Tribolium castaneum: one gene and its partners. The main gene of each other region encodes a partner of the protein of the gene in region 2 in a complex. Links are inferred from orthologs where the notes say so. Each region holds a gene or a part of one and is shown on either strand. Other genes may lie near its edges. The genes, in order: Syx18, Sec20 and Vamp7.

Region 1 (2,712 bases), on a different chromosome or scaffold from region 2:
TGCAATGGTGCTTTTTCTCATCACAGTGAGTGCTGTTTATGTGAGTCGAGAGGTTGCTCCGAGTCGAGTAAGTTTTACCACATTGGCTGCAAATATACGGCCTCTCACCTACAACAAACAAAAAATTATAATAAAAAATAATGACCTTTTTTTGAGAAAATACCGGAATGGACCCTTGCGTGCACATTCAAGTTGTATTTCTTGGCAAAGGCTTTAGTGCAAACTTTGCATTTGAAGGGCTTATCATCGGGGGGCGCATGTGTCAGCATGTGGTGCTCCAACCCGGACGAGCAATTGAACGTCTTGCCACACACTGTGCACAAATACTGTTTTTCCTTACGTTTGTCCTCACCACTGTCCAAAAGGGGGCTATCTATGAACGAGAGGGACTGCTCTTCCCTCGCAGCACTAAAAACTTAACACCCCCAGTGTTAAAACACCAAACAGCCACTAAACCTACCTTCAAACGAGCAAAACTCGCACAAGTCTGCGCCCCCGCCCAGCACAAATTTCGCACACCTGGCGAGCCCCAAATCGGCGTTCAGACAAAACCGCACATCATGGAGCGAATAAATGAGACTTGTTAGATCGGAAATTGTCTCAATTTTGGACGCTGAGCTCGGGAGTTGCACAATTTCGTCACGAAACGACACGGAAGTCTTTAAAGTGCCGCTATCGCAAGTCAGGAGCACCCCCTTATCAATGACCACTTTATCACAGTGGGGCTTGACGTGCAACACGGCCAGGAACTGCTCCTTGGGGTCAATGTGCACGGCCCAGAGGGGCGTCGGGAGGGTCATTAAGTGCAAGTTTTTCACGAAATCACCAATTACCGACGCACACATTTTCCAGAATAACGCTTGACTGGAAGTTTGGTTATGTTCAACAATTGTAAACAAAAACGAATCGCGGTGGCTGACAGGGCGACTTGACCAGTCACAAAAATGTTAAAAAACGGTATTTTATGAGTTTGTGAAAGTTGTGCCCCCTTTTCTAAATTAATTAAGCCGTTCTACGGCCGTAACGTGTGATTTGTCGGTGCGTTCGATTGATTTGATAAATTTTTTGACGTTGTGGCTTTTAGGTTAGGTACACGTCACTTGTTCGGGGCAAAAATGGACATAACAATACTTTTCAAGGCTTGTGTTAAGACTGTGAGGACGACTAACAAGGCCTTAGGCCTGCAAGAGTCCAAACCGGCGCTCCCGAAGTCGGGTCCGAAGGACCCCAATTTGGCGACTGCTAAAGAAGTGGTGAAGCAAATAACGCACTTCCAAACCTTCCTCTTAGAGAATAAAGCAGCGTACTTGAACGTACTAAACTATTTATCCACCAATAAAACCATGACGGAGGTTGACCGAGAGCAAATAGACACAACAGCTGAGAAAATCGTAACCACATGTACTTCCCTCATTAGCGACTATAAAAAAGAAATTTGCAAGCTGCCCAAAAGCAAGCAAAAGGAGGAACACTACCACAACGTGATCGACTCACTCGAGCGCTACTTAAAGACAGTTAGCAAAATATACACCGAGGCGAAGGCAATTCGCGTGAAACGTGTCTTGGAGACGCACAAAGTGGCCAAATTGGAGACAATTGGCAGTAAAGGGAGTTTGGAACCCCCGATTGTACCCCCAGTATCGCCCCCTCCCGTCGATATCGAAGACCAGCTATCAGTTGAAGAAATGCAAATGTTTGAGTCGGAAAACGAAATGCTCTACAATGAGCTCAACTCAACGTCCGAGGAAGTCAAACAAATGGAAAGCAAAGTCGTGCACATTGCCGAACTTCAGGAATTATTCACGGAGAAGGTCTTGCAACAGGAACAGGATATAGAAAGGATTGCAAACAACGTCGTGGGGGCTACGAGTAACATGCGGGACGCTAATGAGCAAATCAGACAAGCGATTCAAAGGAATGCAGGCTTGAGGGTCTGGGTGCTGTTTTTTCTGCTAGTTATGTCGTTTTCGCTGCTGTTTCTCGACTGGTATAACGATTAACAAACCTAGAAAAAATAAATTATTTATAAGAAAAAACATATTTTTGTATAACTCGGCAATAAAGAATAAATCGACCAAAAAGGTTCTTACATTAAAAAAAATACATAAAACATTGCTGAAACCCAAGCTTAATAATTTGTTTGTTTGCAAACTGTGGCTGATAGAAAAGGAATTATAAAATTCGGGACATTCTATTTGAAAAATTTTTGAGTTTAACATTTTTCCAATTTCGAACTCATTGAAGCAAAGGTTTGTTTTCTTTGTAAAATGCCCAAAAAACGATTTCAAAATCTTTAAAAATGGCACAGCTACTGATTTTTGAAGTGAAAGGTATGAAACCAAAAATTTTCGAAACCCAAATAACGGGAAAGCTGATGTAAACTCCCTGATATAACACGAGTAACCCATTTTTCATTAAAAACATGAATAAATATTACCACAACTTCCAATACTTCTCATATGGGGATTGGACAAAACAGTCTATAGTTTTTTTGTTAACTAGGATATAAAAGAAAAGGACTGTAGGATTGAGGGTCTGGTCTTGTTAATTACTTTTGTGTACTGGTATTCCAATTAATGAAACCTACAGAAAAAATAAATTTATTTTTATAATAAAAAACAAAAGCATATATATTTTTGTATAACTCGGTAATAAAGAAAATTTCTCTTAATTAACATTAAACATACTTTTGACTAGTAGAAGCATAACATC
Region 2 (2,912 bases):
GATCTAAGCACTCTAATAATGCATTGATATGATTTTTTTTTAATTGAACATAGGATTAATAGAATTAGGGTGTTCGGTAAAATAAAATCTTCGCTGTATATTTGAATTGGATAGTTTAAAAGGTAATTTGATCAATGCTTTAAGAATAATTAATGAAGACCAAAACCGTTGTATTAAAAGATCAGTTGAATGTAAAGAACAGCGTATTATAGAACAAGCAAGAAATCATAATAGAAAAATCTGTACTTTCATAAATTATAAAGAAGCTTATGATTATATTCCCCATTCTTGTTTAACCGAAAATACATAAAAATATATAAAATACGTCGGTTTTAAACAATCATATCAATTGAGTTTTGTTAAGAGATTTAAATACCATGCGATCAATTGAATTTATAATTAAAGTAGGTGATTTTTTGTCTTTGTGATTAAAAGCTAGTACGAACTGAGGGAAAAATCAGTTCTTTTAAAAACCCAATATTATTATTATTATAAATGTCTCAATAATAACGAAACGTATTTTAATAATAATGTGGTTACAACAATACAATAAATAATTTATTTAGCGTAATCTGGGGGCTTCCCAGATGCCTTGGACCAAGGTCCTTCAGTCTATAAAAACAATACTCGTAAAATAACTCATTATAACGAAAGTAGTTGAAGTTTATTTAAAATAATCGTTTTTGCACGATATAAAAAACACACGCCACAAAGAAGACAAACGCAAAGAACATGAGGATTTTATCGGTGAATTCCCTTCGCCCATACTTCGCCAGCAATTTCCCCGACTGGCTAATTGTACTTGAGGTTATTTTGAGTTCTTCCTGTGACCCGATTACACTATCGGAGGAAGTAACTAGCGCGTCCAGCGTATCCGCACTCCTTTTCGTCGTATCAGCTAATTGCCGACTGATTGATAACAACTGTTCGGTTACATTTGAGCTCATTTTGACCAAATTTTCCTTATCGCGTTTTTGCCTTTGACGCAGCGCCGTTTCCTCAGTTTTCGGTTTCAACAACTCCTCCTGAGCCCCCTTTTCTATGGCCAACATCGCACTAATATTGGCCTTTTTGAACGCCTCCATTGTGCTACAAAATTAATCTCTTCACACAAATGCGACACAATACACCAAATCACCTCGCTAATTGTTCACGATACGAAACTACGTCTTTCAAAAACGTGGGGTTTTTGCGCTCTTTGGCTATATCCCCGAATTTGTCGATGAATTTCCGCAAGGCGGAAATTTTTGAACGTCCCGCGCTATTCAAACCTTGCAATTCAGCCAATGGGCCGACGCATGCGTTGATGTCCTACCACAACACGGACGTGTCAAAAATCAGGGTTTATTTGTGGGTAATACGCACCTGAATTATCGCTCTAATTTGTAAATTGTGCTCAGTTATGTCTTTTCTCAACGTTTCTAGCACGTAATCGGATGAATCCATCGTTTTAAGCTCGTTAGCACCCGACTAAGCTAATGGAATGTAAATCTAGTAACCTACTCATGAGCAGGGTTTTCCGTTTTTGAACCAAGCAATGGCGCCAATTCAAAATTTAAACGTTAGTTTAAAGTATTAGCTCTTTGAAAAGTATGTAAACGCCAACGTCACATTTTTCTCAAAATTAGTTGTTATAAATTATTTATACACTTCAAAAAATTGATAGATAATGTAATTTATATTTTCAATGAGATCTAACCATTAATACGTATCTTACATTTATTTTTACCTTATTTAAAAAAATAATTTGGTAAAGAGCGTGGTTAGCGATTATTTTTTGTTGGTTTTGAATTTTGAGTAAAGACTGAAAATTTAAAAAATAAAATATCACTTTTAACACAAAACAAAAAAAACAATATTTTGTTTCTTTAAGCCTTTCCCTCCTTTTAAATTTTAAAGTAGGGGTGGCTAGCGATCAGGGGATGAAACCTAAAATGTAACTAATATTGGTTTTGAATTTCCCTTCGAGATCCTAATCGATCGGTTTTTGCTTGAAAATATCTTTATTCAATATCAACAGTTATTGAAATACAGTGGAACCTCCCTTAATGGACACCTCCGAAAAACGGACACCTCTTCACAACAGACATTTTTGTAAGAAGTTAACAATATATTAAAATTTCCACCTCTCCACAATAGACAATTAAAGGTTCCCCATCAGTGTCCGTTGTTGAGAAGTTTTACTGTACTCGTAAAATAGTACTTAAATCAATAATGGACAAATTTAGAGACTCATATGAGCCTAAAATTAGGGCTTTTCGAACTTAAACCCAAGAAGTTGTGGAATGATATTTGAGTTCCTAAATTGAGTCTTTCTCGCTCGCTAAGGCAACTTTTGCGGATCATTTAGGTGAATACAAAAAAAGTGTTTCGAGGGATAGCTGTACAACTTCAAGGATTTCCAGGACTGTAAAAGGATGTATAAGGAATGTATGGTGTACAAGATTTAGATCAGATGTTTACCCCTCGCAAATGGTAAAAAAACAAAAATTAAAAACAAATTGTAACGATTGGTCATTTACTACTAGACCACCATTTATTTCCTTAAATGAGGCAATGCCATTGAATAAAATAAATGAATGATTCATTCGATAGTTCAAATCGCTGTTCAAATCATTTGATAACTGATTATTCCATAGTCAAAATCATTCGACTGTGTGCAAAACTAGTTACTAACACTCCGCGAAAAAAATAGTACTTGACCAAATTTGCGTTTTTGCATTAAAATGTTTTATTTCTCGCTTGGAGAAGTCACAATGTTTAGGATTAAGCCCATATTAACAACCAACTAGGAATATTCGCAATTACCTGCGAAAAAACTGTAAAAATTCTTGATAATGCTCCCCTTGTGATGGTCTTCAAATAACCAAAAACAAATCCACCACCAACAATAAATATTTACTATAACACAA
Region 3 (2,748 bases), on a different chromosome or scaffold from region 2:
ACGCTCATTCTGTTTATTTTGTACGCTTGGTTTTGCAATTTTCTCAGCTAGTTGTTTCTTCATTCTTCTGATGTCGTTGTTCTTGTGCGACATGTCCAAAGCAGCTTCGATTCCCTCAGGTTTCGGCACTTTTAAGTTAATTTCAGCGCTGGTTTTGCTTTCGCCGTGCCTGAATCTACAACGCGTGATCTCTTCTTCGATTATTTTATTGATGAGGCTTGTGAATTGTTGCGAAGTGGCTGCGTTTGACAAAATATCAGTGCATGCGACAAGTTTCCTCTTGATTTTGTCCAGTTTTTCGCTGTTTGAGTTGATGAGGGCATCCTTCTCGAGGATGTTCACCAGTTTGATGATATTCTTGAAGAGAAACTCTTGCGATTTGAGGATTGCGTGCAAGTTGTCAATGATGTGTTCCTGACTTTTCACTTTAAACTCGTTAATTTTGGTGTGTTCACGGCGCAACCATTCAGGGACTGTGTTCAAATTTTGGTTTTTCGGCAACTCTTCCAATTTTTTATCAACGGTTTGCGGCACCAAAGCAACAGTATGTGTATGTTTCTCATTTTCTTGCTTTACCCGGTTTATGTGTTCGTACAAGTAGCGGAGATCGTTCGTCACAACGTCTCCCTCACAGGTGTATTTGCTCGAGTTGTTGATAAACTCCAACATGTTTTCAAACGGGATTATTTGGGTCGCGTTGCTGTATTCGGTCGAAATTTTTCGCTTGAAGTGCATACATTTTTTGATATATTCGTGGAGTGTCTCGGCCGCTGCTGTGGTTAAAACCTTCCCACGCAGTAACAATAAATTTAACAGGAATTCCATAATTTGCGCCATGAAATTGAAATGATTGGAATTATTTGCTCGGCCACATTTTTTGAATTCTTTGACAACGCGCCACTCGATTTTCAAAAACCACAACATCTAACAACGCTTGTAACACGTTTTATTTGATTCAAATAAATCTCACTCAAACTAAACCAAGGTGTTACTTTCGGTATCGTGGCCGAATTTTACTATGAAATTATTTTTTTGGAGAAATTTTGAAAATGCACGGACGCCACTGGTGTGGTATTTAGAACATCGACTGAGTCATCGCTGACGCATGCGCACTTTGAAACCAAACGTCAGTGTGACACATGACGTTTTTGTTATTGTTCTCAATTTTTTATAATAATACCAATTAATTCAAAGATATTTGTGTTCGTTGTGCGCGTTTTTATCATTGTTACGTGTGTGGCATTTTTGGCGTTTATGTGAAGGTGTCAACGTAAATCGGAAAAAATAAAACGTAATTACGTCCCAACTGTTTAGGATCAATTAACATTGTTTATTCATTATAGATGCCAATTCTTTATAGTGTAATATCTCGGGGAAGCACCGTTCTAGTTCGATATGCCTCTTGCGCCGGGAATTTCGCTGAAGTTACTGAACAGATCATCGGAAAAATACCACCACATGATGATAAGTTGACGTACTCGCACGGGAACTATTTGTTCCACTATGTTTGTGAAAACCAAGTTATTTACATGTGTATTACTGACGATGTAACGTGGAATGTCGCGTAAATACTTGGTTGTATTGTCATCATTGTTTCAGGAGTTTGAGAGGTCACGGGCGTTTTTATTTCTCAATGAAATTAAAAGGCGTTTCAGGTCCCAATATGGGGACTCTATCCAGACTGCGATTGCATATGCGATGAATTCTGAATTTTCCAGGGTTCTAGCCAACGAAATGAAACATTATTCCGAATCCCATGATGTGGATACAATTTCAAGAGTTCATGGAGAGTTGGATGAACTTAAAAATATTATGGTCAAGAATATAGGTGAGTGTGAATAAATATTTTGTATGTGATATTTATTACTGCGTTCATTGATAAGATAATGTGGCGATGAGGGGAGAAAGGCTGGAACTGTTAGTAAATAAAGCTGAAAATTTGAATAGTGGGGTGAGTATTTAATAAAAAGTTGTTTTTTTTTCTGAAACTTTTTTTCAGTCTGTGACGTTCAGGAAGACAAGTCGCAATCTGGCACGTTCCATGTTTTGGAAAAACGTTAAGCTTTATGTTATCATTGGTGTGATTATTACTGTGATTGTTTATTTTATTGTTTGCATGGCTTGCGGAGGGCTTCTCTGGCAGGGCTGTATTGCTAAGAAATAAAAATTTTAAGATATTTTACTTTATTCATTACTTAAACACTGTACCGTTTTATCTTTATGTAAATAAGATTCCGCAAAATTAGTGATAAAAACATTCTTTTATAATTATGTAGTTTATCTTCGTTAATTTATAATTTTGTAATTGTTAAGGTATCGTTACTTGAATAAAGCAGACAAAATATACTCTTGTTTTATTTTCCCTCTAGTCTTTTATCTAATCACGTATTAAAAAGTCTCAAAAAATTCAAGAATTAAACACAAAAAAATCAAGAATAATTGTTTTAGTTGGTAACAAATTTAAAGAATTTTCTTATTCAGCAACTGGATACGGAGAAGCTATCATTAGTCGAACCACTTAAAAAAAAGATTTAGATTTGCCAACTCGAGCATTCTTTTTGTAGATATGTCTCATATTAGGTCTTACTAAAAAAAAAATTTAGAGATTCTGCAAAAAAAGAAAAGGATTCTGTGTTAAAGAAAATCCCAACGACAAATTTAAAGCCAAAAAAAACAATAATTCAAAGAGAAAATTATTTTTTAAAACTGACAGCTGTTGCTAATAAGATCTGAAACGGACCATACTCG

Evidence for each region.
Region 1: Sec20 (region 2) and Syx18 share a complex: the UniProt entries of both Homo sapiens proteins name them as parts of the SNARE complex. The link is inferred for Tribolium castaneum from reciprocal best matches to the Homo sapiens genes BNIP1 and STX18.
Region 3: Sec20 (region 2) and Vamp7 share a complex: the UniProt entries of both Homo sapiens proteins name them as parts of the SNARE complex. The link is inferred for Tribolium castaneum from reciprocal best matches to the Homo sapiens genes BNIP1 and VAMP7.

The regions. Positions count from the first base shown.
Region 1 is NC_087400.1:1,051,540-1,054,251, forward strand, and holds Syx18 (syntaxin-18), read left to right. Parts: upstream 1-896; 5' UTR 897-1,034; exon of another isoform or gene 1,035-1,038; intron 1,039-1,084; 5' UTR 1,085-1,115; coding exon 1,116-2,000; 3' UTR 2,001-2,081; downstream 2,082-2,712. Other genes in the region: zinc finger protein 239, read right to left, coding at 1-108, 164-415, 461-845. UniProt on the Homo sapiens protein: Syntaxin that may be involved in targeting and fusion of Golgi-derived retrograde transport vesicles with the ER.
Region 2 is NC_087395.1:17,502,676-17,505,587, forward strand, and holds Sec20 (vesicle transport protein SEC20), read right to left. Parts: upstream 1,548-2,912; 5' UTR 1,447-1,547; coding exon 1,366-1,446; intron 1,312-1,365; coding exon 1,139-1,311; intron 1,090-1,138; coding exon 669-1,089; 3' UTR 643-668; downstream 1-642. UniProt on the Homo sapiens protein: As part of a SNARE complex may be involved in endoplasmic reticulum membranes fusion and be required for the maintenance of endoplasmic reticulum organization. Also plays a role in apoptosis.
Region 3 is NC_087402.1:8,581,644-8,584,391, forward strand, and holds Vamp7 (vesicle-associated membrane protein 7), read left to right. Parts: upstream 1-1,099; 5' UTR 1,100-1,291; intron 1,292-1,343; coding exon 1,344-1,547; intron 1,548-1,599; coding exon 1,600-1,828; intron 1,829-1,883; coding exon 1,884-1,951; intron 1,952-1,999; coding exon 2,000-2,164; 3' UTR 2,165-2,177; downstream 2,178-2,748. Other genes in the region: uncharacterized protein LOC103312779, read right to left, coding at 1-825. UniProt on the Homo sapiens protein: Involved in the targeting and/or fusion of transport vesicles to their target membrane during transport of proteins from the early endosome to the lysosome. Required for heterotypic fusion of late endosomes with lysosomes and homotypic lysosomal fusion.